Linked DNA regions of Bombyx mori. The main gene of each other region encodes a partner of the protein of the gene in region 2 in a complex. Links are inferred from orthologs where the notes say so. Each region holds a gene or a part of one and is shown on either strand. Other genes may lie near its edges. The genes, in order: acylglycerol kinase, mitochondrial; mitochondrial import inner membrane translocase subunit Tim22; Tim10; mitochondrial import inner membrane translocase subunit Tim9A.

Region 1 (8,523 bases), on a different chromosome or scaffold from region 2:
GCGCTAGACTCTATAATCTTACATGTTCGACTGTTAATTGAGATAATTTTTGCAAGATTTTTGCGAGATAAAAATAATTTAAAATCTATAGTGTAACGCAGCGTTCCGTTTCGCGGGGCAATAGTAGCCAAAGGGATTGTGACTCAGGTCCGTGCCGCGACGACCCACCCCGCGCTACCCGCGCCCGCGCATCTATTGCATCATTCGCACCCCCAGTTGGTGCGCGCCAGACTTTGAAGCGGAATACACGCGTCCCCGGTCGATACCGGAACTGACAACCCGAGAGTCTCATGCCAGTCGGGCACCTAACATTAAACTGGCGCCCAACGTTGGGGCGGGGCGGGGTGGGTCGTCGCGGCACGGACCTGAGTCACAATCCCTTTGGCTACTGTTGCCCCGCGAAACGGAACGCTGCGTTACAATAGTGCCTATAGTAATTTACCGTTGACGTTTATATAGTAGTATTTCGGTGCTCCATATACTGCAACCGGCTAATATTGAAGCTTTCATAAAATGACTGTGTTACATTAAAAAGCATCATGAACATTTAACAATTATTTATTGACAGAATAATTTAATAACTTTTGGCATTAACGTTATTTTAATTGGTTTCATATCAAAATCCTCCTTGTCGATTTCTATAACTGTATCTCTATCCGTTTCTTTAGGTGTGATCTCGATGGTACGTGCAAAAATTGGCTCTGGATCCGAGTTTGTCTTTATTCTGCGCCAACCTTCAGACACAAAGTCGGTGTATGAGTAACTGTTTCTGCCCAGAAATATACTCAAGGCTGGTATCTGATGGTTCATTGCAACATTCTGCGTTTTAATTTTGAAATCGCAAGTTCGAAAGCACAGTTCTTTCGATGTCAGGCACTCTGGATTTAGAATCTTCGTTTGGTCAAGCTGCCCAGCCGCTTCGGTGGACGAAACAAAGAACCATTTTCGTTTTACTTCCGGCCTTTTAGCTGTACAGTTGGTGCACCCGACACACGGAGGAGTATATTTGATGGTGCCGCTGCAATTCCAGTTTAATGAACTCTTGTAACCATTGAAGATGTAGGCAGCATACTCTCTTAAAGGACCATAGAACCAGTACTTATCCTTCTTTGCTAGGGTGTCCCTAAAAGCTCCCCACTCCATTGATGCCATAGCGTAAATCGGACGATTAGGAGTTTCAGACTCATCAGTAACTTGTTCTATTTTCATGGCATCTTTCCATACTGTGTTTCCTTTGATGATTGCCATTGAGGCGGTGATCAACTGCTTAACTTTTTGTACACCCTTACCGTTTGGAAATAAAGTGTTACCGATTGAGTTTGTGCGTCCGAGTGGCAACACTCCTACTGGAAACATGTTTGCTTGATCATTTCGTCTTAACAATCCTGAAACAGATGATATATGTACCATATATAAATGTACGTATGATATGTATATGTAGTATTTAAGATATTATAAATGAGGCCTATAAAATCAAAGGCAGCTATATCCATGTCTGTCAAATATTCAGGTAAACTACAAAAATCGGCCCTAAACACGTCATTACGGATCCTCCCGATCCATCGAAGTACTGCTCTTGCTAGGGCCAGTGTTAGCAACACTCCCGGTTTGAGAATCTGAAATAACTTTGTTCGATAGTTTTTTTTTTTTTTTGGTCATGAGGAAATCGCCGGACTTCCGCTCTTTTCTGGGGATACACGATATTCTTTTATTATTATTTTATTTATTATTTTATTATTATTTTATTTTATTTATTTTAAAACAGATTTATAAAGAATGAGAATATTACTAATAATCAGAATTTTAAATGATAAAACTTCGTTTATTAGTACTTAATACAGAGTAAACATAACTTTTTTGAACTGAATTTGTTAGAGATTTAGCTGCATTTGTTATAACATGAAAACACTAAAGCATGTTCAACTAACTAAACAAGATAGAGCCATTGTTAATACATTTTACGACATTATGGCGTTTAGCTGCCTTTGATTTTATAGGCCTCAAATATATATATGTTTTTAGGATACAATTTATTCAGAAAAATTATCTAATTATTATTATTCACTCAAAATTTAAATCATAACAGTCCCCACTGTGGCCTCCATTTACAGAGTATTCCAAGGCAATGTATAATGAATATAAGTCGTCGTAGCCCAAAGGATAAGACGTCCGGTGCATTCGTATCTAACGATGCACGGGTGTTCGAATCCCGCAGGCGGGTACCAATTTTTCTATTGAAATACGTACTTCACAAATGTTCATGATTGACTTCCACAGTGAAGGAATAACATGTAATAAAAATCAAACCCGCAAAAATTCTAATTTGCCTAATTACTGGTGGTAGAACCTCTTGTGCTGCCGTGATGCAGTAATGCGTTTCGGTTTGAAGGGTGGGGCAGCCGTTGTAACTATACTGAGACCTTTGAACTCATATCTCAAGGTGGTTGGCGCATTTACGTTGTAGATGTCTATGGGCTCCAGCAACCACTTTAAATCAGGTGGGCTGTGAGCTCATCCACCCATCTAAGCAATAAAAAAAAGAAAAAGAATAATGTACATATATAATAGCTCCGTATGTAGCATTTGTAGGAAATAAGAAATAAAAATATTCAGCTTGAACTTTCATGTGTAATGCAAACACATTCTTACCAGTTACAGTCTCAGACAAAGTACCATCTCCTCCTGCAACAATAATAGCTTCAGTACCCCTTAATGTTTCTACAATTTCTTTTGCATTTCCTTCTGAAGCTGTTTGCACAACATCTACCTGAAAAGTTTGTGATTGTTGTATAGTTGTGCTAAGCACATGGGTCATGTGTCAAGGAGAATGGTATTCATGAATTGAATCCATCAAACTATTTCTACTTGTGGTAAGACATCTTGTAAGTCTCTGTGTGGGTAGGTACCACCACCCTGCCTATTTTTTGCTGAGAAGCAGTAATGCAATTTGGTTTGAAGGGTGGGGCAGTCATTGTACTGTAAAAATGAAGACTTTAGAACGCATATCTCAAGGTAGGTAGCTAGATTTACATTGTAGATGTGTATAGGCTTCGTTAGCCACTTAACACCAGGTGGTCCGTGAGCTCATCCATCCATAGAGCAATTAAAGCTATGGGCTGTAAATATATTGATTTGAATTAGATGAAAATATTGATCTAGATTAAAGAAGCGAAATCTTTACATTTTATTTCAGATTTTTATCAAATATATGTAACATAAAATGCAAATTCTTTATACAGTAGACCAGCACTAATTTAATATGCCTGTAACTGGATCATATCAGGTCTGGATCATATCATTTAGATTAAGAGACATATTGCTTAATATGTGACATTTATCTTTGTAAATAAAGCTAATGAAATAGCCTTTTACCCCTCAATATAAATTAATTCTGTTAAATTTTCATTAATGCATGTTTGAACTATGTATACAACATAATTCAAACCCCATTGCAAGACATTTGTCTAATGACAGATCAAATGTATAAACAATTTATTGAAAACTAGTTGACCTAGCACTTTTTAGTGCCTCAATCGATAAATAAAATACCTAAGCTTTTGTATAAAATAAACTTAGAACAAACAAATGGAATCCATCCAACAGGGGGGACATATCAAAGGAAAAAAGTGCTATTTTTATTCAATTTTGAGTATTTTCATATTTATCTACCTTTTAAACCTTCTCTGGATTTCCACAAATAATTTAAGACCAAAATTAGCCAAATCGGTCCAGTCGTTCTCTATTTTAGCGAGACTAACGAACAGCAATTCATTTATATATATATATATATAGAATAGATATAGAAGATAGAAGATTATACCTGTAAACCACCTAATAATAGCAATGGTTCACAATATTTCTCAAATTCTTGTTTTGCTTTCCTCTTGTTGGCTACAGGGTTGAGAATAACTGTTATGACTGTGGGGTTTCTTTCGATGGGCAGGAGAGCTTCGCCGTAAATTGCAGCCTCTTTACATGCTGCTCGCATAAGTATATTAATTCTGTTGACAATACATAAACTAGATTTTTTAAACTTAAGTGGTAGGCGCACAGGTGATAAAGGGGCGATTAACTTGGCTGGACAGTTAAAGTGTTGGTCAAATCTTTAGTAGTAGATAGCACATAAGCTGTGGTTCTGGAAATGCTTGTAGTGAGTAGGTACGGTAGCTGCATAACATCAGTTTGGTTCGTATGACTGCCATGGTGAAGAGATGAAAACTTTTTTTGTGAATTAGTAACTCAGTTACAAAATTTAGTTTTTAATTTGAAATTTTACGCACTCATATTTTTCTTTTGCAGTCGCACTAGCGTAGTATATAGCGACTGCACCAAGGACTGATTTCTTCCAATTGTTTCGTATTGTTTTGGCAAACTTCGCTATTCTTTCCATTTTTTTGCATTAAATCGAATAAATCAAACTATAAACATAAACATTTAAGGTTATAGAACTTACAGATCAGCTGTATAATTCTACTTTTTTTTTCAGAATGGCAATCGGCTTCTGGCCATGTCCTTGTTGAGCTGTTTAAAATTTATTGTTTTGTTTTGTTTATTTCGTCTATTCACATAGGAACGAAGTTGGTGAATTGTTTTATTTTGTTAATTTTGCTGTTCTTCAGGCTTCAATGTAATTACCATCCCATCTGTGAAAGCACACAAATGTGGTAAAATGAACAAAGCTGCTGTGCTGAAAAAGTCAACTCAAAAACTAAAAAGTCTCGTAAAATTTATTCTATTTCATCTTGTTTCCTTTTATTTCATCCCAATTGATTAAATGCTATTTCACTATTTATTTTTTTCATAATCTATGACTCGAAAGTCTTTTTATGCCATTAGGACTTTTTGGCGGGAACGCGAGGAGTGAAGTTGTGTGATTTGTTTTATTTTGTCTATTTAGTGTCTCTTCAGGTTTAAATGTGTAATAATGGTGGTTTATTAACTGTTTAATATCTGTGAAAGTGCACAAATGTGGGAAAATGAAACAAAGCTGCTGGACGTAACTTCTCGGGTTCCTTCAAAAAGACCACTGAAAAAATCTCAGTAAATGACCACCATTTTACTGCGATTATATTTCATCCCATATCATTTCATTTCATTAAATTTCATCCCAGTTGCTTAATGTCTCATTAATCATCTTCATTTCATTCCACTCCATATTATCATTTTTCATAAAATTAAGAATATAAAGTAAAATAAGACATGACTTAAAGGTCTTAGTTACCAGGTCATAAAATCTCTTAAAAAAAAAAAGTTTATGCCATTAAAATTCCTAAAAAAAAAGTCAATGACAGGTAAAGGAAAAGTAGCTCATACAGTCAAATCCTGGTCGCTCTGCCAAAGCGAAATTTTTGTTGTATAAAAAGTGAAATAGCATGGAAATGAAATTGAGAGGAATAAAATGAAACAATATGAATCCGGTGACATAGGTCAACAACGTAGGTGCAAGATGGGATAAAATAAAATAATCACCGAGTAAAATTATAAAATTTTGATGAATCATAAAAAGAACCTGAGAAGTCAAGTGCAGCTTCATTTTCCCGCAATTTGTGTAGATGTGACCTATGTAGATACTAAACGGTTGATATTGGTCTAGTATTTTTTTTATTACATATCTAAATTTAAGAAGAAACATTAAATTGAGAATATAATAGTAAATCCTTCAGTAATTTTTTGGTGTTCCCGCTAAAAAATTCCAAAATCATGTCATTAAATTGTTACCAGAGTAATCAATTCCTCACAATTCAATTTAATGTGTTCCAATGATTTCACATGCACAATCGATCAATGGGGATGTAAAATATCACTTTATCCATTTTTTTTATCGCTATAAATATTATTTACTTGCATGAAAATTAAATGATGAGTTTTCCGTTGTCAGAAATTAGAAGAATGTGCACATAAAATCGATTTTAACTCAAACTATGACGAAACCATTAAATAATCGAAGTGCAGCACTACGCAATACAAATTGATTTGTCAAGAAATACATTAAACATTATTCGTGATGTGTTAATCAGGAATATTCAAAATAATAACAAATTTAACAAAGTATCTGCCATGAGTTCGAGTTGCAATGAAACATCTCAACTTCCTGATGGCTGGGTACTTTGCACTTCCAAATCAAGTCCTGGAAGGAAGTACTATTTCAATAAAAGAACGGGAAAGTCTTCCTGGACGCAACCACAGGTATTTTTTCTCTATATTTACAGATTTCATCGCTGTTACTACGGTCAACGCCTCAGTAAAATTCATTACAGGAAACGTTTTTACAAATATGTTTACGTTTAATATTGCTTTACCTACCATTCGTAGTTGGACGAGAGTAAAGATAAAAGTAAAAAAGAAAAAGATAATCAAAGGGATATGAAAAGTAAAGAAGAGGAAAAGAAGAGTTTAAAGCGTAAAAATGATGGCTCTGAACAAAACTCCCCAATTCGAAAGCAGAAAGAAGGTACTTTTCAGTCTAGTCTTTATTATGTATTAAATATAAAAAATACTTCTCAAACAATGTTTTTCGTTCTATATAATTTACGTAATCAAAATAGGTTTCAACCTAAACGTAGAAAAGTAAGGATGAGTTTGCAAAGCTAATGGTTTTGTTGGTAACCAGAAATTGTTGTTTTATTGAACCTACCCTAACATTGTACTCCTTCACATAATCACCTTTTTGACAGTTAAAATCTTTTTAGCTAAATCTTCTCCAGGGAAGTGTTGGCCCAGTCTTAATGAAATATCTCTTAAAAATGTAGAAACAAAGAGACAGAGCACAAGTCAAGAGCAAACTCAAAAAGATATCCCGGGGAGAGCACAAGAATCATACAGACACAGCAGCAGCCAAAGAGAGTCAGTCTCTAGAACAGACAGCCCTGACAGACGCACCCCAGCTAAGAATTTAGCTAACACAAGACTCACACAATTAAGGGCCCAACTTTCTTCAGAAGCACAAAAAGAGGAAAATAAAGATTCTACAGTAAAAAAACGCAAAATGTCCACAGACACTGAAACTTCACGTAACAGTAGAACGGAGAAAAGTCCTAGTTCTAGTGATGTAAAGAGTTCAACACAGTCTCCCAGCAGTGAGAGCCTACCATCAATACCATCACCATCACAGTTTTTTGCAGCAAATAAGATTATTTCATCCATGAAAGCTCAGTTACCTGAAGAATATTGTGATAAAGTGAAGCAAAAGGATATGTTTGCTGATATTGAACAAGGAATATATAATCAAGTTACAGAGTATCCATATATGAAACATCCAGCTACTCCACCACAATTTTCAGAAGCCAGCAAACTGGTTTCAGCTATAAAATCTAAGTTGACATATAAAAGTTCTGGTGTTGATTGTGACTTGATTACATATTCATCGGCACAAGATCGCTTAGATGCTCTACGTACAAGGTTGAGCAATGATGCAACTAATGCAGAATATAGCATCAACATTCCGGAAAGTAAGGAAGATTTTGCCTGTAATGAAGCTATGGACGTTGATTTGAAGAGTGAGATAAAAGAGGTTTGTATATTTAAATTTATACAATTTAGTATTCTAATGTATTCTTACATGAATTGTAATGAATATGTTTCTTCACTTTTGTTGTTGATGATTTATCTCAAAACCATTTTCTTTAAAAGATACATAGTATATGAAATTGGAGCTTTTTGTTTGCTAGAATATGCTATATACATATTATATAAAATTTTAGACTTCAAATTGAGCTAGAAAAAATAGATGTTCACCATGACTATAAATCTTTAATCTGATTAAACTATTAATCATTTTACAATTTAGCATGTAAAACTTATAGTTTAGTTTGACTAGTTTCATAACAATTTCAGACAATTCTATGTTACTTTTAAGCTTTAATTTTAACTGTATTCAAAAATGATTTGAATACAGTATTCAAAAATACTATAATTGAATGTGGGCATTTTGAAACTGCTAAACCTAGTATAATGGTGGTAGCACTTAATCAAAACTCACCTGGGTAGGTAACTAAATTTTCTGTATTTCTACTGCAAGCAAAAAGGAAATGTGTGTTTTGGTTTGAAAGATGGAATAGTGAATTTACAACTAATTTTAAATTTTGATCTTTTGTTTCTAACATTTTTGCTGCACCATAACTGCATCATAACTGGTGGTAGGACCTCTTGTGAGACCGTGTGGGTAGGTACCAGGGTGCCTATTTCTGCCGTGAAGCAGTGATGCGTTTCGGTTTGAAGGGCAGCTGTTGTAACTGTACTGAGATCATAAAACTTATATCTCAAGGTGGGTGGCGCATTTACGTTGTAGATGTCTATGGGCTCCAGTAACCACTTAACACCAGGTGGGCTGAATGCTCGTCCATCCTGCTAACCAATAAAAAAAAACTATTAATATACTCCAACAACACCTTAAAATAAGGAAGACGGTGTGATCAATATTGGTGGGGGCGGTTGTTTATCAATAGTGGAACTATACGTGTTGCAAAAAAAGGGGAATATAAATAAATAAATAAATGCACTTTCTGAGATCAGAAATTTCAAGTT
Region 2 (8,477 bases):
AAAATGTTGCAGCGTTAGACAAACAGTTTTTTTAAGACAGACTGGCGGTCCGGCGACCTATCAAGCTTCATTAGGACACCTGAACAAACACTATTTTGGGTTGAGTTTGCTAACAATTTCTCGAGTGCCTCTAAACGACACTTTCAGTTCAAGGCCAGTTCCTTCGCGAGTGCATCTACAACAAGATCGGAAACGCGACTCGCTGAAATGATCCGGCGAGGAACTCAGCGGGCTTTTAAGCTATATCACGTTCAACTCTTCAATTGGCACGAGTACAGTGGCCTGTGTGCTTAGTGCGAGTTTTTAACGTTTTCGATGAAGTTAGAGCGTTTGCCGCTAGGGGCGCTGTTCCAACAGCATACCTACAAATTTGATATAACTTTTACGCTATCGAGAACGTTAAAAAACTCTCATTAAGCACATTGCACTATAGCTGCTGCTTGCATTAGAAGTAGAATCGTTCAAAAATACAATCAAGCAGACCCATATGAAACTGTCTATGGATTCAATAGCGCCTAGCTGTTGTGTAAGCTGCGGCCATGATGAGAAGGTTATCGACTATCGTAACACGTCGCTGGCGCGAAATAGCGTTCTGGCGCTGCTTCATATTTTTAAGGAGCTAACACTACCTATTTGCTATGTACATTTTTAAGAACTATTCCATTACACACTGTGTCCTTTTACACAGTTCACCAGTTAACTGGACACATATTTTTTCTATATTTCTACGGAAGTTTATATCAGTAATCCTCTTTTCCTTCCTTTCCTTTCCCCCTACCTATTCGCTGGTAGCTTGAGATTATTTCAGCTAGGCGCGGATGGGTAGGTGAGGTTACCGGCTCAACCTGAGAGAATTTTCAAACACTATCCATACCAAGAGCAGCGTCTTGCAGAGCCTACCACCGGATCGGAATCGTGACAGATCTCTCTCTCGCATCGGTCGTCCTCGTGGAACTCGTAATTGAGTTTGACGAGGATGGTGACCAGTGTTTGAAGAGCCTAAAAGCACCGAGAGTGCATCGGGGGGATTCGCTTAAACATGTTTCGGGCAACGAGGGTTGTGGAGAGTATTAAGCGGTAGACAGCAGCTTGGCTCTGCCCCTCTCATTGCTGAAGTCCATGGGCGACGGTAACTACTCACCATCAGATGGGCCGTATGCTCGTCTGCTTACAAGGGTAATAAAAAAAAGGAGGGCTTTACGTTGCCCTGTCGACTGGGTCGAATATGTAATTAGCGGCCACGATAAGGTTATCGTGTCACGCCAGTATGTTGAACTAGTTGGCGTGAGAGAAAATGATCATTGTACACGAACAAGCTGTGCTATGCTATTTACTGGTGGTAGGACCTCTTGTGAGTCCGCACGGGTAGGTATCACCACCCCGCCTATTTCTGCCGTGAAGGAGTAATGCGTTTCGGTTTGAAGGGTGGGGCAGCCCAGCTCAACTATACTGAGACCTTAGAACTTATATCTCGAGGTGGGTGGCGCATTTACGTTGTAGATGTAAGCTCGTCCACTCATCTAAACAATAAAAAAAAAAGCGTTAAAATCACATTGTCAAATACCAAATTTTCTTAGGAATCATAAACTTCCACGACAAAGAGAATGGTAGATAGGCGTATTGTATTTTAAATCAGTACCGCCAGTCTGGGAGACAGCCTAAGCACCTAGCAGTGGATGGTCCACACGGTCCATAGTTCTAGTACCCCCACCCATTCAATATATGGTTACCAAAATTTTGCGACATCACAACTTCCATGCTGTTTGAGTGCCTACGGTGAATAGGGTGGAATTCTCATCATCACTATGATAAGTCTATCGCAGTCTTCAATGAGATCCTGTTTGCTCGGGGCAGTAGTCAACGTTCTAGTAGATTTGTGAAAGTGAAGAGAAAATACTGCAACCACAGATGAAGTAATGGGAAGGTTGTAAGTTAATGTTCACCACAGACTGTACCCCTTATCTCTGATTAGCTTGACTGACTATTCGGTGTCCTGAATTTCTGAAATCATTATGCATGCATAATACGTAAGTCATTTTTCAAATAAGGTTAAAAAAACAGTTTTGTCATATTTATGGACAATAAATAAGTTATCTTGCGTAGTAGAAATATATAAAAAAAATAACATTACTAACATTTTATTGATAAAATAAACTAAATTATTATTTAAGCCCGTTGATGCATATAGTAGTCAATGATCGTGGAAAAGGCTGCAAATCCCATCGCTCCAAACATGCCAGCTTTTAATCCACCTGTAATAAGAATTTTTCCAAGATTTTAGTGCTTAATTTGCAATTTTTCAGAATGTTTAATTTGGAGAAGTTTAGTTGTTGATAAAAAAAAATTATATTTCACTAAATATATACATAGAATTATATAGCTAAATATAAAACGGAAATCATAGCCCATGGATGTGGTAACAATAACATACTTTAACATTTTCTCCTCCAATTTTTTGATATTTATGTTTTGTTTTTACAGTCTTTACTTAAGGCAGACTTCAATAAAATATTTTTGAATAGGTAGATACCTTTTTTTTTTTCAAAATGTTGATAACTAAAATATATGTATGTGAATTCTAATCTTGAGGTAATGGTTTACGTCTTGAGAATCAATATCTAAAAATATTTAATTTTGAGAAGTGAGTGAGTACTATTACTATATTACTATACTATACTATATTAGTTATATTATGGTTGACACAATACATGACAACAGATATTTGATACTATTTTATTATATTATTTATTTAGAGTGCATAACATTAAATGGAAACCAAGCCAAGCTCAACAATAATGGTAAAAGGAGAAATCAATCTCTACTACTAAGAATTTTCTATAGAACTCCGATTGATAAATATTTGGTAGCAAACAACTACAATCCAAAGAAGAGAAATAGACTAGACAATACATTACTTTAAAAATGATTAAAATGCACCATACCTCTTAATCCAATTAATCCTCCTGTAATTCCTCCAGCATAAGTACCGTTCTTCCAGTCGGACTTCCCCCTTGCTGTTTCGATACAACACTCGACCCCAGAAAACACAGCACCAAGTATCGCAAAGTTTTTTCCATAACTCAACATGGAGTTTTTCATTTCCCGTAAAATCTCTCTAGCCGTTTGATTTTGTTGGGCAGTAGTATCTGTTACGTTAGGCATCAGGGAAGATGTGAATAGACCCACTGCTGCTCCGAGACCATATCCTGTAATAAAAAAATGTTTTTGTACCCTGTTAGCTATTAGTTATAGGTAACAGTAAAACTTTCATTGTTAAGTTAAAAAAAAAAGTAAGCATTTTTGGCAAAATGTTAATCTTTTCACACAATACCAATTATAGAATATGAAAAGTACACCTTTTTTATTTGGTTAGTTTTAACAGTAAAAACAAAATAGTGTAGTGTTTGTGAGCACAGATGAGCATCATTTAGGCATAGTTCTGAAGATACCCAAAGGCAGACTAAAGAAACCATGTGGATATCAATGTGGGCGTTTTATGCAATCTATGCAATTAGGTAGGGCTGGTGCAGAATAATGTGGGGGAAAGTTTGAACTCTTAAATCCCGATCAATGCTTCACTGCATTGGTGTTTGTATTTCGAAGATCTCGTGGCCTAAAGGATAAGACGTTCGGTGTATTGGTGTTGAGCCACAGTGAAGGAATAACAATGTGTAACAAAAATCAAACCTGCAAAATTATAATTTGCATAATTACTAGTGATAGGACCTCTTGTGAGTCCACGCGGGTAGGTACCACCGCCCTGCCTATTTTTGCCGTGAAGCAGTAATGCGTTTCGGTTTGAAGGGTATACAGCAGCCGTTGTAACTCAAATGAGATCTTAGAACTTATATCTCAAGGTGGGTGGCGTTAGCCCCCAGTAACCACTTAACACTAGATGGGCTGTGAGTTCTTCCACATATCTAAGCAATAAAAAATAAAAATTAGCCGAAGATACAATATTACTGTAAGCACTTAACTTACCAATTATACAACTAGTCAATGATTTAAAGGGACAGCTCTCAACCGTTGCCTCGATCATCTTCTCCTCATTGGTTTTAATTATAACAGGTCCAAGAATTCTTGGTATAATGATATTTTCACGAAATCTGTAGTTGTTGCCTATCAAATATTTTGCAAGCGAATCATAATCACTATTTTGGGTAAAGTTCACTAAATTTTGGTCTGGAGGTGGTCTCCGGTATTCACCCATACTTATCGCTATGTGTTGACATTAAGGTTTAAATATTAAATGCAGGTAACTAAAGTTTATTCACTAGTATTTAAGTAGGGACCTAGGTACCTAATAGAGCTTAAAACTTTTAAAAGTAACCTAAAAACAGCTGGTATCTGACACTTGACGTAAATGATTAATTCAATAGGCAGTTTCGCTTTGACGGAAAAGTACGGTACAAAATAGCTGGACCTGGCTCTTGTTCTTCAAAAATGTGCTTCAAATACCAGTAAACCTCCATAATTTTGATGGAACTACTTATATAATTTCAAATAAACCAACTTCATTCCGTTTCGCTCTAATCTGCTTTTTGAGGACAAGGTCTGTTAAGAAAGTAATGAAGATTTGGCTAAAAGACCAGAATCCAGGCTATTAAAAATAATTTATAAAAAACAAAACAAAAATATTTTATTTCAGCAATGTTGTGGTTAGTTATTCCTTATCATATTATACATTTTTTATTATAATCAGTGGTTAGCTATGTCAGATTCATCTGAAGATGAAGACCTATCGCGTTTCAAAGACGTCGTCGACAACTCTTTCGTTAAATCTCTATCCCAAACTCGTGTTACAGGATCTAAAACAATTCAAGGTACTTATATTATTTAAAGTAGTATACATACGAGCCCTCCGTTAAACATTTAATGCGTAAACATGTGTATACACCGATAATTATCCTTCTACTCTTTTTACCTAGTAGGTTAGAAACTATGGCATCTGCATAAAGTAAATAGCAATGATTAAATATGAAAGAATAGTAAAATAAATTATTTGCTTATTATGTTTATTATTATAATGCTATTATTATATATTTCCATCTTTTAATGAAATGCAAATTAAGTATTCGAGAGAAACATTCATTTTTAATTAAATAAATAATATGTATAGTTACACTTACAAACCTTTTTTTTTATTCAAGGCATTGAAGAAAAGCCCGTCTCCCAACGTTACTTAGAAATATCAAGCCACTACAATGATGTGAAGGTTCCAGAAGAAATGCAAAAAAGAATTGGTGCTAAATTATCAGCTGTCATACAGAAAAATACAAGATTTGTAGATGTGGACCCTGTTCAACCAAAGTAAATGTTTATTTTCACCGCAAAAGATGATAGTGCTTATGATACTGGAACTACGCATTAATGTGAACTTTTATCATTTATCATCTGGACATTTTAAGAATATTTTTATCGAGGGTATACTTTCTTAGAGACCAGTAACTCAGATTACAAACATAAATGATACACAAAAGTGTAATGTTGGTATTATTAAAATTGGTCTTTACGAGTTGAAATATTATTTACTACTGGCAAACTTTTGTTAGATTATTTGTATTTTACTGTATACTCCTAAAATCAGCAAACCAGTAGCTGGAACTGGAGCAATTGCTCCACAAAATTGTATACATTATATCAAATTGAAGTCATTATGGTCTACATATAACACACCTGGTGTACACAATACTAAGCTATGTCACTATGCTGGTGTTGAAATCCTGCAGATTCATAGTTCATGTTTATTAATGACTTCCACAATAAAGCAATAGCATTGTATAATAAATATTAAACCTGGAAAGATATAAATTCTGGTAATGACTGGTAGTTGAATGTATTTTAGGCCCACATGAGTTGGCAACTACCATGTTGTTTACTTTGGTTGTGAAGCACATACTCTGCTCTTAAGTATGAAAAAATGATCTGTATCAGTTATGACAACAGGGCTGCGAGATTGTTCACTCATTGAAGCATTATTTTTTTATATTTTTTTATTTGACTTTATTATCTTATAAATCACAGGTTACACAGTTAAAACAATTTTAACTATATACAAAAGTTTATTAATTGTGATGGAACTTTTTTGAAGATTCACCAAATTTGTGTATATTTATTACAGAAAACGCAAAATAAAGGGAGGTGTAAAATTGTTCAAGAATTCAAATGGATTTTTATCTTGTGATGACATTAAGGACATATCCACTGAGAAACATAATTGTGAAGCGAAACTGTTAAAGTATAGTAAAGTTGGTCCTGACTCAGATGACATAGGTGAGTTAGGAAAGTTTACTGGTGGTAGGACTTCTTGTGAGTCCGCACGGGTAGGTACCACCACCCCACCTATTTCTGCCGTGAAGCAGTAATGAGTTTCGGTTTGAAGGGTGGGGCAGCCGCTGTAACTATATTGAGACCTTAGAACTTATATCTCAAGGTGGGTGGCGCATTTACGTCGTAGATGATGTCTATGGGCTCCAGTAACCACTTAACACCAGGTGGGCTGTGAGCTCGTCCACCCACAAGCAATAAAAAAAAAAACTTGCAAATTCTGTTTTTTTTGGAGGATGAAGTTAATTCAATATTATTAGAAAATGCTATCCAAATTATTCTACAATCATCACTACAGAAATATCTAAATCTGCTGTGGAGTAGTTCTGCTTTAAAGAAGCATTATCTCTAAACATTTCATGAAAGAGCAGATTGAACAAGTGACAGTTGGTTTTTCTCATGGTGACCCCAATCAATCTAGATCATCTTAAAAATAGAAGCGAGAAACAGTGAACACATACTTATGTTTAGATGAAACCACTTGATTGGATGTGTGGGAGGTTGCGTGTTCAAATCACGTTGGGGTCACTAGTGTAGGAGGCTTAAACGATAAAAGAAAGATCTTTCACCGAGCGGGTGATATTGCTCCGTAGATCGACGGTCCGAATGTTGTCATTCGGAAATTGTATATATCGATGCCTCCAATGAACACTACTCTAACTCAAAATTTTGAAATTTTCGTTTTTCACGCAAATCGCTTCATTATGTTAAAAGTATTATAATTAATCATTATTGATGGGGTTCGGAGCAAAAGTAAATCAGCTAGTTACACAAAAAAACCATAAATATATCTGCAATAATAAAGATTTTATTAACTTTTTTCGTTTAAACGCTCTTCCTGCAAATCTACCAAATTTGGAGTTAGCGTAGTGTTCATTGGAGGCATCGATATGCAAGCTTATCTTAAAAATGTCGTAAGCGAGATTCGGGCATCTGCCATATATCTTGTATTGTATGATGGCTACACGCCACAGATGCCTGCGAGTAACTTAGCTTTATGTTTTCAATCATCATTCTTTCAAATAACTCAAAACATTTCAAATTTTCTTCATCATGAATATCAGCTAAGTCAATATGATGCGTTGATTAAACTACCCATTCCCAGGGCTTCCAGATGTTGGTTTTCTTCACATTTCTGATAAAGGCAGTGCCTATATTTTTATTAGGTTGGATGCATGTTTGGCTTGTACAAATTAACTAGGCAATAACGAAAATAAATAATGTATTTACAGAGAAACTACATGCAGTTACAGTCAGTGGAGAATATGTACTATCAAAAGAAGAAATCAAATGTTGGAAATCTAGAAGAAAAGAGAAATTATATAAATACAAGGTGTCACAAAATAGTGATGTTTTAGTAGCTTTAGAATAAACTTGTTTTCACTAAAAAAAATCAAATTTATTTAGTTTTATTGGTAACTGATAGACCTTGTGCTAGTCTGCCTTCGAAGAAAGGAAATAAACCTATTTGTTGAAACAGCTGATACTCTGTATATTGTAAAATGATGGTACTCAATCGCCGACAGCTACTACTTAGCTTCAACTCTACAGAATAAACAACATGACGTAAACACATAGAACTAACAAAAAAAAAAAAGCCACGGATACAGTTACAGATAATGGTTCTTTTTTAATGAGAGTAAACATAAAACATATCGCATGGCCAATTATAAAAAAGATCATAAAAGCAAAAGTCAAAATAAAAAAGAAGACTATCGCCGACCGCACCGCACCTTTTCTTTTCACCGCACCGCTTCTTTTGTCACCTATATATTTTTGGACTCTTATTAATTTTCTATTAAATTATAATACGAACTTTTACTGACGATCACACTCGTCGTTGCGAGTGGTTTATGGACAAATAATTTAGAAGAGTGCCGTGTCAAGTCGTCAGGCCAGCCGCCGCCATTACGAGTCGTCCAGCAGTGACGTTGAATTCTGCAGCCTCTAAGAAGCTAGCGACAGGTTGGCAGGTACGTCTACTCCTCATCCTCATCAGCCTCGGCCTCTTTTTGTGCATCTTTAGCGATACTCGCCCCCGCAAAAGCTTCCTTTCAAAAATATTGAACCAGCGCACCGCCGTGGTGAACATTGTAAAGAGTTTTTCCCACTAGATATTACATAATTGTAACTATACTTGAGACCTTACA
Region 3 (8,507 bases), on a different chromosome or scaffold from region 2:
GCAAGCCGTCGTGCTGGTCGCTTATAACAGCGTCATGACATCACAGTACTTTATTTGGTTCCTCTCGTTATTACCATTGGTATTAAAAGACTTCAAAATGGAACCAGGTAAAATTGTTTACTTGGTTTTCCTCTGGATAGCGACTCAATGTGCTTGGTTGTTTTTCGCGTACCAATTAGAGTTCAAATGCAGGCAGGTTTTCATGTTGATCTGGTGTCAGAGCGTTATGTTCTATGGCAGTAATGTTTTTATACTGACGCAGCTTATAAAGTACTACCGCCCCGGCTACGCATTCGGGATAAACGAATCTGGCAAAGGAATAAAAGAGAAATGAATTGTTTTTTTTTTTTTTCGTTTATTGTTTTGAGAATCATGACCTACACTAATTTTGTTAAAAGCTTAATTCTATCAAATTGATAGCCTTTCGAATTTTAAAAAACTTAGTGTAAGTACATACCGTTTTAGTAGATTCATAGTTTGTTTTGTCTTGTAGATAGGTTTGTTTTTTTTTTGTTTTAAATAAAACACGTTTGTTGCATTTATTCATTTGTTTTATTTTTTAATAACTATCTAACAATTCAACCTAAACATATAGTCCACGCTAATTAACAAAAAAAATGCATTTCAATAAGAGAATTCCTTAATTAGCATAACATTCAGAATTCTGAAACGCGGTCTCCGCATTGTTTGTAAACGTTACTTTTGTAAGCTTTGACTTACGACAAATCAATTCAGCTTTTATCACGATGAAATTTAAAAGCATAAATTTAATTAAGTTTCGTGTTCACGTAAGACATTCCAGCATATTTATAAAAAAACATGTCCCACGTGTCCTGGTGAAACTGGAAAGGACTCCGGGCCACCAGTAATCTTTCAATCATAAAAAAATTTAAAAAAAAAAATTTACAGTTTATGGCTGATTGATCTTGAAAAACATGAACAGTATTAAATTATGATTAAAAAAGAATGCTAATAAAATTTGTTTGTTCATTAAACTCTATGGTCGTTTCATTCGGTAACCGCTAGTTTCTGTCTTAAAATTTACATAATCCTACTTTTTATGCATTACAGTACAGTGTATTACAGTATCTTTAAAATATTGTCGAGCTGTGAGAGTACCATAGAGGGTAGTGTAGAGATAAATAAACATAACTTTTTTGAATAGCCGTATGAAGTAACAACACTGGACAGAGCTTTGAACTAATTATGAAAATAAACTAGTTTTAGAAAAATAGTTTTCATAGAAGTAGGCAAAATAATTGCACCAATTGCGTTTCAGCCAATGTTTCAGTTACAGAACCGGTTATAAAAATTTGAATTTTGAACTACACAGACAAAATTGAGTAACATTATTTCCCAAACGTCACAAGTGAAGCACTGCCCTTGTTAGGGTAGATGACCAAGGTAGCATAATCTCTCGAGATTACTAGTGATAGTAGATTGTTTTCTCATAGTGAAGTACTGACATAATGGCAGAATTAATATTATATATAGAAAGACTACTTCACCTATATATTACTGCAAATTTTTCACAACAAAATATCTCAAATCTGCAGATGTCTTGTACTGGTCACTGTGAAAAATCTAGCAACTGATTGATTTGTCGTGAGTAGTAGCTTCGTACTATTTTTTGTCTGGTATGTTGACCTTTGTGAGATCTTCGGTTTCTCCTTGTGACATATTGGAAAGTTTCTTACCTATGCGTTCATGTACGTCCAAGTATTTGGCTACACAGCGATCTAAACATACAGATTCGCCTTTTCCTGTAAGAAGAGAAGATCATGTTCAAAATTAACTCATCCTATATAAGCGAGGCAATTAAATCTCTTAAATACTTGTATCTATTTTAAAAGCATATGCTACATCAGTTTTCTAAATATCACCTATCTTTATATCATCTATATATTTTTGTATTTGTAGATGTCCTGTAACAGTGTATAACCCTAAAGCTTAGCTTATAATAATAATTATAAACTATAGGTCATAAACTTCATAAGTGTGATGGCTTAAAAAGAAACAAATGGACATTGAAGGTCATAATTATCTTTCTTTTCTTTTTTATTGCTTAGATAGACGGCCCACCGGGTGTTAAGTGGTTACCGGAGCCCATAGACATCTAGAACGTAAATGCCGCCACACACCTTGAGACATGAGTTGTAAGGTGTCACTTTTAACAGTACAGCTGCCCCGCCCTTCAAACCGAAACGCATTACTGCTTCACGGCAGAAATAGGTGGGGTGATGGTACCTATCTGAGTGGGCTCACAAGACGTCCTACCACCAGTAATTATGCAAATTATAATTTTGCGGGTTTGATTTCTATTACACTTTTTATTTGATATTATTCGTTCATCATGGAAGTCAATCGCGAACATTTGTTAAGTATGTATTTGATTGAAAAATTGGTAACTACTGGTGGGATTCTAACACCGATGCATCGCTACATACGAATTCACCGGACGTCTTATCCTTTAGGCCACGACGACCACAGTTTAATAAACCATTTGTGTGTCACAATGAATACAATTTTGAAGGTCCCTATAATTATAATGTTCGCCATATTTTTTTTTGCCTGGCTTACCTAATTCAGGTTCATGATATTTAATTGGTATGCACTTCCGGTGACATGCGCTCACCAAGCGGTTGTACATGTCGGACATCATCTCAATCTCCAGTTCCTGCACCAATTGCAGCTTTGCAGGGTCTAGCTGCGGTACTGCCATCTTTACGTTTTAACTAAGTAATGTTCAATGGTATATCTGGAAACTACAGTAGATTAAAATATTTTTTAGTTACATTCATACACTGTATACAAATTTTTTTCTTAGTTAGTCGGACGAGATCACAGCCCACTTGGTGTTAAGTTGTATCTGGAGTCCAGACATTTACAACGTAAATGCCGCCACCCACCTTGAGATATGGGTTCAAAGCTCTCACTATAGTTAGGACGACTGCCCCAATCTTCAAACCGAAACTCATTACTGCTCCCGGTAGAAATATGCAGGGTGGTGGTACCTAACCATGAGGACTCACATGAGGTCCTATCACCAGTTAATTTAGTGTTACTCACCAGTATTTTCTAGAGTTACTAGAGAGATACTCACATTATAATGAATTCAAGTTCACAATTTCCGATACAAGTCAGGGTATTCTCCTTGATTAGATCTTCGCATGCGTTCTCTTGCTTTCATATTCTCAACACGCTGAGTATTAATGTAGTTCTTCGCCACCACGAATAATGATAAACTTGCTGTTGTTATTGCTAACCTGAAATTAACACCGATCCTGGGTTAAAACATCCTCTCTCTGCTAATGGGTCTGGAACATTTGTGAAACGTGTAACATAAAATAACTAAGCTTAATTAATAAAATCATACTACATCATACACGTTGATACTAATGGTATAAATTAAAAAGTGTGCTTGTCTGTCTTTAATTCACTTTAAAATGAAGCAATAAATTAACATGATTTTTTTGACATAGTTTTAGGTCAGGAGATTTTTATTCCAAAAAAACATCTCATACCCACAGGAAACTAAATTGACACATTTCTATAACGCCACAGGCGAAACAGCCGATAACAGCTACTTATCTCAGAAACTAGACTTATCAAGTTTTAATTAAGTTAGAATCCACAAAATATGCATATAAAATCCACTAGTTTTAATCTAAATGCATAAACGTGAGTTCAAATTCATTTAGAATACAGATTCGTCTTGTATTTGCGTAGTAGTATAAGGTAACATAGACTATAAGTAATTTCCAAAATAACTGAATCGCATTAACAACATTTCCAAGATAAGTATGCATATTTACAAAAGATCGTGGGTCTACCCTAGAAATGAAACCCGCTTGCTCGAAGATCTTCGCTTTTAACGTTTATTCCAAAGTTATGACGTTATTTTTGATGGATTTCTTGTGGCTGAAGACACATGAGAGTCAAGGTTGTGGAGTATATAACTTAATTTTCATGTTTTCTTATTAATAAGTAATAAAAGGCGAGCATAATAATACGCTGTGATAGGTAATTGACTTATCTTGTAGAATTATATTTACACAAAATAGAACTTGGCTAAATAGACGAATGATGAAATGAGTAAAATCGAATTTAATTCTGCGCTCACCAACGAAAGGTAAATCAAAAGTAAGCTGGTGATAAACTTGGGTATATCTTATTTAGTTATTTACCACGAAAGAGTAATTTTTCCAAATTTTCCAAGCGGCATACTATGAAATTTTGGAATTGCTTTTACAACTTTAAGGTTACGTTTTAGTACCAATTTTTAAAACGTTATGTCACAGCCGGATGTCGCTATGTGATCGTATGATTGTAAAGAAATATTGCAGGCGCGTATCGACTAAAAGGAGGAACATTACATAGGAACGGGTTTTTATGAAAAATCTGCTATATTAATTATATTATACATAAATTAACTATTAAATTAATTAAATAATAAAATTATTAATTATAAATTAAACTTTGTGAACTTTTTGGTATAAAATTTTTTGAGCTAAGCTTACAGATTTCCAATGTAGAGATTAATCTGCCATAATAGAGTACATAAATATAAATTAGACACAAGATTCGTTTAAACTTAATATTAATGAGAAATTTGAGGAATTATTAGAATCATCAGCGGTCTTCCCTGGCAAACATTTTTTTTCTTCAAAATATTTGTCTATGTTAAGCCCGGACGGAAATACTCATTCGTATCGGTTGGGCCGGTTTATTTGATAACACGTACAGAAGAGAATTAATTCGAACGATTCATCAAACTATTGGCATAATGCGAAGTTTAGTTTTTAATACCTTTAATCTATCTTCTATCTATCTTATCTTATCTTATCGTATCTTATATATATATAAATGAATTGCTGTTCGTTAGTCTCGCTAAAACTCGAGAACGGCTTGACTGATTTGGCTAATTTTGGTCTTGAGTTATTTGTGGAAGTCCAGAGAAGGTTTGAAAGGTAGATAAATATGAAAATGCTTGGAATTAAATAAAAATAACAATTTGTTTTTCCTTTGATGTGTCCCCCGTCGGACGGACTCCTGCTGTTTGTTTTAAGTTTATTTTATACAAAAGTTTAGGTCTTTTATTTAACGATTGAAGCACTACGAGGTCTGCCGGGTCAGCTAGTCTAAAATAAAAATCTATCGCATTGCATATATTGTACAATAATAAATAAATAAAATAGTCACCGGGACAGTCTGTATCAACCATAGACAATAAACTGGTGCCGGCAGGAATGACAATGTGCACCCGATCTAAATGCTACTTAATTATCTATGCTATAAATTTGTTTTCAGTTTTTTCCAAGTTAGTGTCCTCTGTTGACTTGGTTTCGTTACTACAAAGAGAACGTTACATACATCCGTTATTATAATAATACACAGATTACACTTCATCAAAACTTCTCTGGAATTAACAAAGTTTCAAAACGTGGCGATATAAAATATCATAAATAAAATGCCTAAACCAACAAGATTGCACAATAAAGGCAAATCGACATCTTTACAGAAACCTTGTAAAATTGATAAACATGAGTCCGAAGGTGTAGACCCCGAGGAATCGTTACGACAGTTTCAGCTCGAGTTATGTTGGTGTATCCAACAGTTAGAGCGAACTTTAAATGAAAAGAAAGGAAACGAAAAACAATGTGAGTTTTAAAATAAGACAAATTAAAAAAAAAATTATCCAATTTAGCGATGTTCGAGTTTTAAAAAATACGCTACATCAAAATATCAAAATACGTGCCTTCATAAAAAAGTTCTTAATTTAAAATTCTCGATTTGCACGGTACCTACCCTCCTACTAAATTTGCAATATCCATTTGACTTTGATTTCAGTGCAAGAAACATGGAAAGTCTTAACTGTACTGAAAAACAATAATCAGCCGATTATAAGGAAGAGACAATTAATGAGGACACATTTCGGTGATTATCGAGCTAAAATGGCTTCAGAGGAGAAAAAATTGTCTAAAAGTATGTTTTCACACTAAAGCTACATTTAACTTGATATTTTCAATTATAATCTTATTAGCATCGGTGCATCAATTTTTATATGGATCACCGATATCTATAGGTAATTAAATATAATTCGCTTGTGTGGCAGTAATTTTAAGTATACGGTACAAATGTGTTGTATATAATTCCAACATAAACTTTGTGTTTTCAAATTTTGTGGCATTGATATGAGGTCATATTGGGGCTAAGTAGGTACTCATAGTGTTCACCTGGTTCATTAAATATAACAGTATGAAATATTACTATACTTTTAATTCTGATTTAAATGTGTATAGTAAAATGCCTGTTCAATATTTGTGATTGAGTATTTGAATAAGGATATTTTACTTTTAATGAGTCGCACGCACACCTTTGTATGGTAATAAGTGGAAAGTGGTCCCCATTTATTTACCTTTATTATCTAATTGCTTTATAAATTTGTTTTTATCGCATGAAACACACATCACTATATATGAATGTGTTTTAAAATTAAAGTATTTAATTTTCAAATCTTCATGAAGCTATAATATATGAAATTGGAAGTCTACTAAATGGAACTACTTAACACTACAGACCGCTAGCCTATTAATTGATTTTTCTATTGCCAATGCTTATTGACTGATAGCTTATTAATAGGTTTTCGACTATTTGCTTTAGCTGTCTACAGTTTTCTGTTTTGTTAGTAACTGCATATTAATCTCGCCATATCCATATATAAATTATAATAAAATGTTTGAGGACCTCAACCACAACTGGTCAATAATTATTTTCTTAAAAATAATTACATAAATATGAATACCTAACAAGAGGTGATCACCATTGCAGACTGACCACCACCTGACTATAAGCACTAACATTTACAGAAATACTGCATTTGCTTAGTGATATTTTTATTTACTTCACTTAAACTTACATTATGCATATTTGTTCTATTCTAGATGTACTGAGAATCACTTTGATATATGCCCGGATATGAACCATGGAAGATAGTGGTTGCCCAATTTGGCATCAAACCACACATTCACAACAGTATTAAGGTATACTTAATTTAAATTTAATTGTTTTCAGTGACAAGTAAAATCAAAATATCAGAAGTACAGGAAAAACCAAAGGCAACATTTTTTAGGAAATCTGTATTTCAAACTACAGGAGATGAGTCGTTCCGTTTTAATTTCGATTTGACTTCAGATCAAATAGAAAATGGAAATATTTCTACCGTTACAGAAGAAAATAACAAAATTGGTAACACAGAGTCTGTTATAGCCGATGACAACATACAGGGAAACTCTAAGGATCACAATACTGAAGAAGCAAACAAAGACAGTACAAAAAAATTTAAGTTCTCTTTTTCAAGTTCTCAATTTAAATTTAATTTCGATGTCAATGATAGTTGATTTTCATTTTGTTTTTTTTTTTAAGTTAGCCACTTCTGTGTTTAAGTGAATAGCGAAAAATAGGTTAAGTCTAAAATTTAAATTGAAGCAAAAAAATAAAGAGCATTTATTGTATTTTATGCATTTTAATGATTCAGAAAAAATCACAAATGTGCTGGTAATGTCCGTTCGTGACCAACATATCATTATCCATTTTAATCCTTTTAGCGCACATGTAGTCCGCGTAGAAGTTATCCGAATTCGCCACAGAGTATCCGACCGGTAATTCGTATTTAGGATAATACGCTCCCCATGTGGCAACACCGATTAATTGATTCTTCTTCTTGTCAAATACGGCGCCCCCTTCGACGCCATGATAGTTTTCACACCTTTTATTTTTCTCTATGAATTCTGGTAGATCGCAGGAATGGTAACAGGGCACTTTGAACCCTTTGATCTTATCAAAATACGTCATAATATTCGAACACAAGTCCATGTTAGAAACGACATCCAATTCTGTGAGACTGTAAATCCTATCCACGGTCTTTATTGTATGGATGCCCTAGAAAATCAAAGTTCATTTTGTAATATATTGGATTCTCATTTTAAAATGAAGTCGTTAGGCCAGCGTCCGTTACTTGATGACTTGTGCAGAGTGACCAGCAATGGATCAGGAGAGCTGAAGACTGGGCTTATTAATATAAATTGGGAGAGGCACATGTCTAAGGGTGCACAAGAGTGGCTGAATAGCGAATGAATGAAAGAATAAAACAATTTAGAATAATATCACTTTCATAGGTGTTAAAAATCAAATGAAACCTGCTTAAGTACTGATCCAAAGTAAACAAACGATAATTTAAAAACCAAATTGAAATTTCTCGTTCATAGCAAATGACAATAAGCGCTGTCTATGGTGTTTCCCGAGCGTTTGTCTGCGTATTGAGGTAAGATTTGCCCACTGAGTTTCTCGCCGGATCTTCTCAGTGGATCGCGTTTTCGATCTGTTGGTAGAATCTGCGAAGCACTGCTCTTGGTAAGGTCAGTGTTAGCAACACCTCCGGTTTTAGCCCCGAGAGCACCTACACGCGAGGGTAACGCTGATATAACTTCCCAAGGCTATCACCATAG
Region 4 (7,387 bases), on a different chromosome or scaffold from region 2:
ACGGTGAAGGAATAACATCGTGTAATAAAAATGAAACCCGCAAAATTATAATTTGCGTAATTACTGGTGGTAGGACCTCTTGGGAGTCCACACGGGTAGGTACCACCACCCCGCCTATTTCCGCCGTGAAGCAGTAATGCGTTTCGGTTCGAAGGGTGGGGTAGCCGTTGTAACTATACTGAGACCTTAGAACTTATATCTCGAGGTGGGTGGCGCATTTACGTTGTAGATGTCTATGGGTTCCAGTAACCACTTAACATCAGGTGGGCTGTGAGCTCGTCCACACATCTAAGCAATAAAAAAAAAAAACAATATTATGTAACAATACTGACATTACATGCACACTTTAATGTGTATTTTTTTCTTTAAATGTTGTATATTATTACAGCGAATAAATCATCAACAAGCTGTTTAGGACGGTGTGATCTACCAAAGCACAGATGTTTAGAGAGACGCGAAGTAAAACCTGGACCTGTGCCCAAACACATGGGTTGGTTGTATACGGCCAAAAATTCACCTGAACATCAGGTTACCATTGTTTTTACAATAACTTCTTTTTAGTTAACATTCTAAATAGAAATTAGAACTTTTTTAACTTCATTCAAATCGGGAAAATAAATATAGCGCACATAATACATAAACATGCAGAGTACATAAACAACACAATGCGAAAGCCGCCACGCCATGTCTACCATGGACGGGTCGAAGTCTGAATTTCGTTGAAATTACGGCTATTCTGCGAAGCCCAAAGCATAATAGTCTGGTGACACCAATAACCAGGCCAATGGTTCAAAGCCGTATAACTACCACTAAATCGGGGATGTTTGCGGATGCGCGAATTAATAGCTTCGCAACAATGAATTGTAAACGAATTGCTTCCCTAATTCGCCGCATGCGGGTCAGTCGCAGCAGGTACCTGCGGCTTTCGCCTCGCGGATGGATCTGGACTACCCAATAATGCAACACTGGACAAGTGTGCATGTTGAGCACTCTGGATCCAAACCAGCCTTTAGAGTTTGGATTAAGGTAGTTTTGACGTTAATTTGGTTTTTTTGTTTTATTATTATTGCTTTTGTTTTATTGCGTATACTGGTATACTATATGAAATATTAATGAATGTAATATAGATGCAAAATCTGAAGTAAATGAAATAAATAAATTAAATAAATAAATTACTGTACGAGTATTTATTTTACTAATAGCCTTTACTTTTGCAGTTACGATGCGGTTGGCGCCCGGGACATGTATCTTGTTCTGTACTCCGGAAGATTGAACAACATAATTCTATGAGAATGGGCAGTTGCACTCCTTGCCCTTCTAGCTGTTCACGCCCCTTGTGTTCAAAGCCATGCTGCATGCCTCCGAAATGCCTAGCTCTATGTCCATCCTCACCATCATGCTGCAAACAGCCTGCGGCTACACAGCCTATCCTTAGAATAATAAGGCACGAAGGACAATATACAATATGTACAAAACCGTCCAATGTCAACAACGCTCCGTCTGGTCCATACCCACTAAAGTACGTCCTGAACACAGATCCCGATGAAGGACCAACAGCGAACGCAAAGTATAGCGTAGAGGCTAAATTCAATGATTACCATTTTGATTACACTAGCTCCCAGTCTTCCTTCGTTTTAGACTTTTCACCCCCCGAACAAAGATGCTTTAAGCCATGTCCGAAATAAAGATTGAAACAAGTTGTATGTGTTTTAATACATTGATCAGTACAAACATACATTTTTCTCTTATAAAAAAATCCACCCAAACTGGTTGAGAACTAGTTTCCCTTTTTTTGGCCACCTAACAATTTTCCTTTTTGTTTACCTTGTTTTGTGTCCTAAGTACCTTTCACTTTTTTATTCACAGTGAGGCGTACAAGCACACTGTTGTGTGCTTAGTGCGAGTTTTTTAACGTTCTCCATAGCATAAAAGTTAGGTAACTCAAATTTGTATGTAGTTGAAAACGTTTGCCTACGTTTGCCGCTAGGGGCGCTGTTCGAACTGCCTACAAATATGAGTTAACTTTTTCGCTATTGATTGATTCGCTAAGCACACTGACCTCACAAAGTGATCATCTCTGTCTATAAATGGATTAACTCAAAAGATTTCATGGTAAAAAGAAAATAAAATGTATTGTATGTAAAACAGCTCCTTATAAAGCTAGTGATTTCTAATCTAGCAACGAGTAGTATGATGATAAAATAGACAGGTAATGATATATCAGATCCGTGAAGCAATGCCACGGTGCAGGCAGTGGCAGCTTTGGAACCAAAAAATAAATATGTCATGCTTCCATTTTGAATTTCGAAATTAATAATTATGATTAGTCTATGAAAGTTACAATTTAGCAAATTAATGAATTTCCATATCAATTACTATCAAAAATTAGAATAAATTCATCAAAAACACGAATTGAACTTTTTCATGATAATCTTACATAACACAACCAAGTGTGACAGTAATTCACTATTAGTGAATTTGAAAATAATGATAAGCAATGAAAAACAAAGAATCTGTCTAACAGAACTTTATTGACAACAATTTAGACATACACTGTACATTTGCACAAGTATATCATTATATAGGGTGTGCTTTCTCTTACTACACCTTAAAGAAAATGACTAGATAAGTCACAAATATACCATACTTTTTAACTAGGGTTACCAGATTTTTGTGCTAATGCTAACATGTTTTCATTGGCAAGCATTTGGAACTCATGGAATCTTTGTGAAACCCTCTGATTCATTCGTAGATATTTCTCCATACAGTTGACAGTGCATTTGTCCTAAAAGATAACACATTTCAATCAGTGATCTATGTAATGAAACACCCATTTTCATTTAACATTCCCACTAACTGCTATCCTGCTTTAATAATCACAGGGATACAATGCTCACCTGTCAAATGTAATAAAAGCCAAAAATAATAATTACTTGAACTATTTGTCAACAAATGCCACAAAATGAGAATAAAGAAAAAACTCATTAATATTCATGAGATAACACTGAATCTGGTGACTCTGTACATTAAAGAAAAAAATGAAATAAAGAATTATAGAAGCCAGCAGTTCCTGTAATTATTTTCTGCCAGTCTCTATTTGGCTGTCCATATTCAGTGCTCCAGATCTACTGTATACATTTACATGTAGTTTTTCACAGACAGATGGGCAGATTACAGATTTTGAACAGAACATAAGGTTTCTTACATTAAAATCATATGCTGCAAATGGTATTTTTAACAGTGATTGAAAGTTATATTTCAAATGATATAATTAACAAGAAAGTAACTGCTGTATTCAATTTTGACACTTAAATTGCTGAACTAATTTTGAAAATTCAGGGAAAATAGTATTATATCAGGGAAAGTAATAAGCTTATATTCCTCTAAGAATTAAGCTACATTTCATGCCACCGTGGAACACACATAAAAGAGCGTTACACGGGGGCAAAGTAACAGACGAAAATATAGTTAACTAATCGAGCTATTCCTTACCTCGGTAGATTTTAAAGTCCTCGACGTAAAATCATGAATGCAATCATTGAAACAAAGTTCAGACAGCTTGTTGTATTGTACAAGGAAATCCTTGAACTGAAATGAAATTTGAAAAAAATTAAATTTTCTACTGAAATTTGAAAACACTAAACAAAATGTACCGGCATATAGATGATAATTATTGGAGAAATGTTAAAGAATTTAAGAAATTAAATTATATTTTTAAATAAGTGGAATAATTCAGAAATAACATTATTTAACAAATTATTTCGTGAAAATACTAAATATTTACAGTTTTAATTTGATCAACTTCACTCATCATTTCAGGGGTCGCCATTTCTGTATATCTTCAAGAAAAGTTTAGAACAGTGTGATTGTTTAGTATTTTTACAATATTTATATTAAATCTAAATATTTATTTAATATTTTTATGAATTATTGTAATGTTTCAATTTTAGGTTAGATTAGAAGCCTTTTTTATTTTGTTGTACCATTTGACAGGCAAAGGTATAGCGAATGTACAGACTAAAAAAGCCAAATATTAAGATTATGAATTCACTATTTGACTTGACTATGACTTGACCTTAAACAGACACGTAGTAACTATTATACCAATCTGTGGGCAGAGCGCGGTCTGCATCTGGACCGCCGCGCCGACCCATGTTATACGTTTCGCGTTTCCAACATTATAAAAATTGAAAGTTGATCTTGGAAGATTGCATGCATTCGTATGCTTGACTCATTTAATTTTTGTCAATATGCACAATGTCAATATTTAGAAAAAAATGGCCTCACATAACTTCTTATGTATTTTCCAGAGCTTCCATTGCAGTTTGTAATTAACTGAGGTACCTATGTCATTTTATTGATTTTTTTTGTTTCAGAGTCATTTCCAATTTTGGTTTATTTCATTCTATTTAATTTTACTTTTCTTTTGAAAGGGTTCACTTCATTCTAATGAAACACGAAATAATTATTTAACCATTTCATTTAAAAAAAGCTATTAGAGTGATATGACTACATTTCCTTTGCCTATCAACTAAGAACAAACTACACATCTTAAAAAGTTTGCGCTACGAAATGTCAAAAATCATTGAATTGCAGTTTTAGACAGAAAGAATTAAAATAACCAAATAATAACTAGGTACGAATGTTCAGGTTTGATCGTCTACTACACTTTGTCTCTGTGTAAAACACATTTCAGATAATCAAATAATAATCAGATAGTACACGAAATCTCTTAGCTATAGAAACAATGGAAGAGATTGGAATTATTTTACCCGAGAAAGTAAGTATTCAAAAAAAGGCTTACTAATCGAATAACTGTAACACAACCTTTACACATAATATTGAACTTTTTAGGATGACCAAGTCACAGACTCAAAAGGCTTGGCGTTTGCTGGTCCTCAATCTTTTGATGAACTCGAATCTGAAGATTTATACACAAAGTACAAGGTAAGTGAAACAAGTTTATAAACTCCACTAAAACTATTCATTTTCACCAATAAGTAAATGTATGAGATGCCACCCACCTTGAGACATCAGTTCCATACTACAGTGGCTGCCCTGCCGTTCAAACCAGAATAAATCTTGTGCTAGTAACATCAAGATAGCCATGAGCCCATTAGCCCATTAAGGAAAAAAACTGCATGGTTTTCTTTAGCCACTAGTAGTAGTTACCTACTGAGTTTCTCACTAGTGGGTCACGATTGTGATCCAGTGGTAGATCCAGAGAAGCACTGCTCTTGTTAGGAAATTCTCTTAGGCTGAGCTGTGAGCTCTTTACACATCAGGTGAAGCCAGAATAGTTCCTTGAGGCTATAGGTAGATAAAAAACACTAAATCACAACTTTCAATCTGCAATACACAATACATATTATCTTTAGTGTATTGTGCAATACACAAAGAGACAATAAATATTAACTTTTATGTAAATTTAACAGAAACTCCAAAGAATGTTAGAGTTCTTAGAAGTACAAGAAGAGTACATTAAAGATGAACAACGAAACTTGAAGAAAGAATATTTGCATGCACAGGAAGAAGTAAAGCGCATACAGTCTGTTCCTCTTGTCATTGGACAGTTTCTTGAGGCAGTTGATCAAAATACAGGCATAGGTAAATGGTTCATTTATTTAATAATATAAATTACCATTGTCTGTGTATCACCATGAATATTGAAAAGTATACGAAACTTAATAAATTGACTTTAAAAAATGCGAAATGAAACTATGGAAGTAGTTATAATTATGTCTAGAACTCTAAAACTGAAAAAATACTAAATTACATTTTACAATCAATTTATTCTATCTTCCTAATATTACTTTTTATTTACATTATTATTTTTAATGCTGGCGAGGACTGGACTTTTCAGTGCTCATTATTTAAAGTGATGAAAAATGTCAAACAAATGTTGAAAACTTCTCTACAAATAAAGTCATAAGTACACACTTCAGGAATATCCAATGACATTTTTTTGTGGCAAAATTCTGTGCAATTAAAAATATTTTTTTGATCTTGATATTACTTTGTTGGCATTTCCAATACTTGTTATATTTGAGTCGACTATTATCAAAGGCGGCAATCTGACTTTTGGACAATGATTGGTAAATCAGAAAAACGAATTATTGACTTTGTATTCCATTGGCAGTCACAAAACTCTTCGGAACGACATCTTAGATAAATAACAGGTTAACTATTAACCTTTATTTAATGCAGGTTTTGAACCGTATTCTTTGAAGGAGACGATTATATTTAAATAAATCTGTATTGACATATCAATAAATTTTTTTTGTCCAAATGTACAGATTGCCACCTTTGATAATAGACGACTCATTTGCTGTTTGCATCGCTTACACCCACTTCCAGAATAAAACATATTTTATTTTGTTATTTCAGTTGGCAGCACCACTGGCTCAAATTATTATGTCCGTATTCTCTCAACAATTGATAGAGAATTGTTGAAGCCATCTGCTTCAGTTGCTCTGCATAAGCATTCTAATGCTCTAGTTGACGTCTTGCCTCCTGAAGCCGACAGCTCAATCTCTATGTTGCAAGCTGGTATGTATTATTTCTACTGTAGGAAGTTATCCTGAATCTATACTTGTTGGTGCAACCATTCAGGTGCTTTTAATTAGTTGACAATATTCTAACTATATTTGAAACTATCCATGAGAAGTGACATATCCATGATGGTTCAAGTGATAGAATTTTCATAGAATCTCATCTCATCTATAATATGTTTTATTATTCAATACAGTGTCAACTCTAGTATTTAATTAAATGTAATTCTAATAAATTGAATATTTTCATTTTTATTTATCAGCGTGTTTAGTGCACAGTAATAATGCATCAATCAATCAAGTGTTGATCAAGACGCTAGTTGAACGGTGTGTGTTTTCGGTCTTTTATTTATTTATTGCATAGGTGGTTTGACGAGCTCACAGCCCACCTAGTGTTAAGTGGTTACTGGAGCCCATGGACATCTCACACATAAAGAGCCCAGAGACATCTAGAACGTAAATGCCGCCATGAGTGGGCAAGATGGGCCTTGAGATATGAGTGAGTATAGTTACAAGGGCAGTCCCACCCTTCAAACGGAAACGCATTACTGCTTCAAGGCAGAAATGGGCAGGGTGGCGGTACCTACCGATGCAGACTCACAAGGGGCCCTACCAGTCCTACCACCATTAATTAAACAAATTATAATTTTGCGGGTTTGATTTTTATTACACGCTATTATTTCTCCATTGTGGAAGTCAATTGTGATTATTTGTTAAGTTCCTACGCATTTCACTACAAAAATTGGTACCCGCCTGCGGGATTCGAACACCGTTGCGTCTTTCGAAATGAATGCACCGGACGTCTTATCCTTTAGGCCACCACGACTTCGAAAGTC

Evidence for each region.
Region 1: mitochondrial import inner membrane translocase subunit Tim22 (region 2) and acylglycerol kinase, mitochondrial share a complex: the UniProt entries of both Homo sapiens proteins name them as parts of the TIM22 complex. The link is inferred for Bombyx mori from reciprocal best matches to the Homo sapiens genes TIMM22 and AGK.
Region 3: the proteins of mitochondrial import inner membrane translocase subunit Tim22 (region 2) and Tim10 are in contact, whole or in part, in a cryo-EM structure (PDB 7CGP), measured with the Homo sapiens proteins. The link is inferred for Bombyx mori from reciprocal best matches to the Homo sapiens genes TIMM22 and TIMM10. Residues at the interface, in NP_037469.2 of Homo sapiens: Tyr25, Ser26, Leu28, Leu29, Gln30, Tyr31, Leu32, Val33, Arg40, Leu42, Leu47, Gly48, Glu67, Glu144, Ser145, Tyr146, Gly148, Ser150; in NP_036588.1 of Homo sapiens: Pro3, Ala6, Gln7, Leu9, Ala10, Ala11, Leu13, Glu14, Val15, Met17, Met18, Ala19, Tyr22, Ser44, Lys45, Gly46, Glu47, Arg53, His62, Glu63, Gly66, Leu69, Thr70, Ser73, Met74.
Region 4: the proteins of mitochondrial import inner membrane translocase subunit Tim22 (region 2) and mitochondrial import inner membrane translocase subunit Tim9A are in contact, whole or in part, in a cryo-EM structure (PDB 7CGP), measured with the Homo sapiens proteins. The link is inferred for Bombyx mori from reciprocal best matches to the Homo sapiens genes TIMM22 and TIMM9. Residues at the interface, in NP_037469.2 of Homo sapiens: Asp35, Arg37, Gln38, Pro39, Arg40, Leu42, Gly45, Ser46, Leu47, Gly49, Ile50, Ser52, Pro53, Lys60; in NP_001291414.1 of Homo sapiens: Gln13, Glu16, Phe17, Thr20, Leu57, Thr60, Gln61, Met65, Phe67, His71, Gln74, Asn75, Leu78, Lys81.

What each region holds. Positions count from the first base shown.
Region 1 is NC_085118.1:2,012,911-2,021,433, forward strand, and holds acylglycerol kinase, mitochondrial, read right to left. Parts: upstream 4,775-8,523; 5' UTR 4,391-4,774; coding exon 4,281-4,390; intron 4,002-4,280; coding exon 3,821-4,001; intron 2,768-3,820; coding exon 2,650-2,767; intron 1,386-2,649; coding exon 559-1,385; 3' UTR 543-558; downstream 1-542. Other genes in the region: transcriptional protein SWT1, read left to right, coding at 6,058-6,186, 6,313-6,451, 6,690-7,510. UniProt on the Homo sapiens protein: Lipid kinase that can phosphorylate both monoacylglycerol and diacylglycerol to form lysophosphatidic acid (LPA) and phosphatidic acid (PA), respectively. Does not phosphorylate sphingosine. Phosphorylates ceramide.
Region 2 is NC_085122.1:12,603,650-12,612,126, forward strand, and holds mitochondrial import inner membrane translocase subunit Tim22, read right to left. Parts: upstream 4,342-8,477; 5' UTR 4,211-4,341; coding exon 3,982-4,210; intron 3,207-3,981; coding exon 2,943-3,206; intron 2,253-2,942; coding exon 2,167-2,252; 3' UTR 2,123-2,166; downstream 1-2,122. UniProt on the Homo sapiens protein: Essential core component of the TIM22 complex, a complex that mediates the import and insertion of multi-pass transmembrane proteins into the mitochondrial inner membrane. In the TIM22 complex, it constitutes the voltage-activated and signal-gated channel.
Region 3 is NC_085130.1:5,898,312-5,906,818, forward strand, and holds Tim10 (mitochondrial intermembrane space translocase subunit Tim10), read right to left. Parts: upstream 4,254-8,507; 5' UTR 4,124-4,253; intron 3,267-4,123; 5' UTR 3,104-3,266; intron 2,766-3,103; 5' UTR 2,723-2,765; coding exon 2,581-2,722; intron 1,764-2,580; coding exon 1,624-1,763; 3' UTR 1,565-1,623; downstream 1-1,564. Other genes in the region: GPI mannosyltransferase 1, read left to right, coding at 1-334; uncharacterized protein LOC134201240, read right to left, coding at 7,534-7,941.
Region 4 is NC_085124.1:8,578,010-8,585,396, reverse strand, and holds mitochondrial import inner membrane translocase subunit Tim9A, read right to left. Parts: upstream 3,945-7,387; 5' UTR 3,830-3,944; coding exon 3,785-3,829; intron 3,589-3,784; coding exon 3,493-3,588; intron 2,786-3,492; coding exon 2,651-2,785; 3' UTR 2,514-2,650; downstream 1-2,513. Other genes in the region: keratin-associated protein 10-7, read left to right, coding at 389-528, 1,218-1,685; 26S protease regulatory subunit 6B, read left to right, coding at 4,748-4,780, 4,855-4,947, 5,436-5,607, 6,388-6,549. UniProt on the Homo sapiens protein: Mitochondrial intermembrane chaperone that participates in the import and insertion of multi-pass transmembrane proteins into the mitochondrial inner membrane.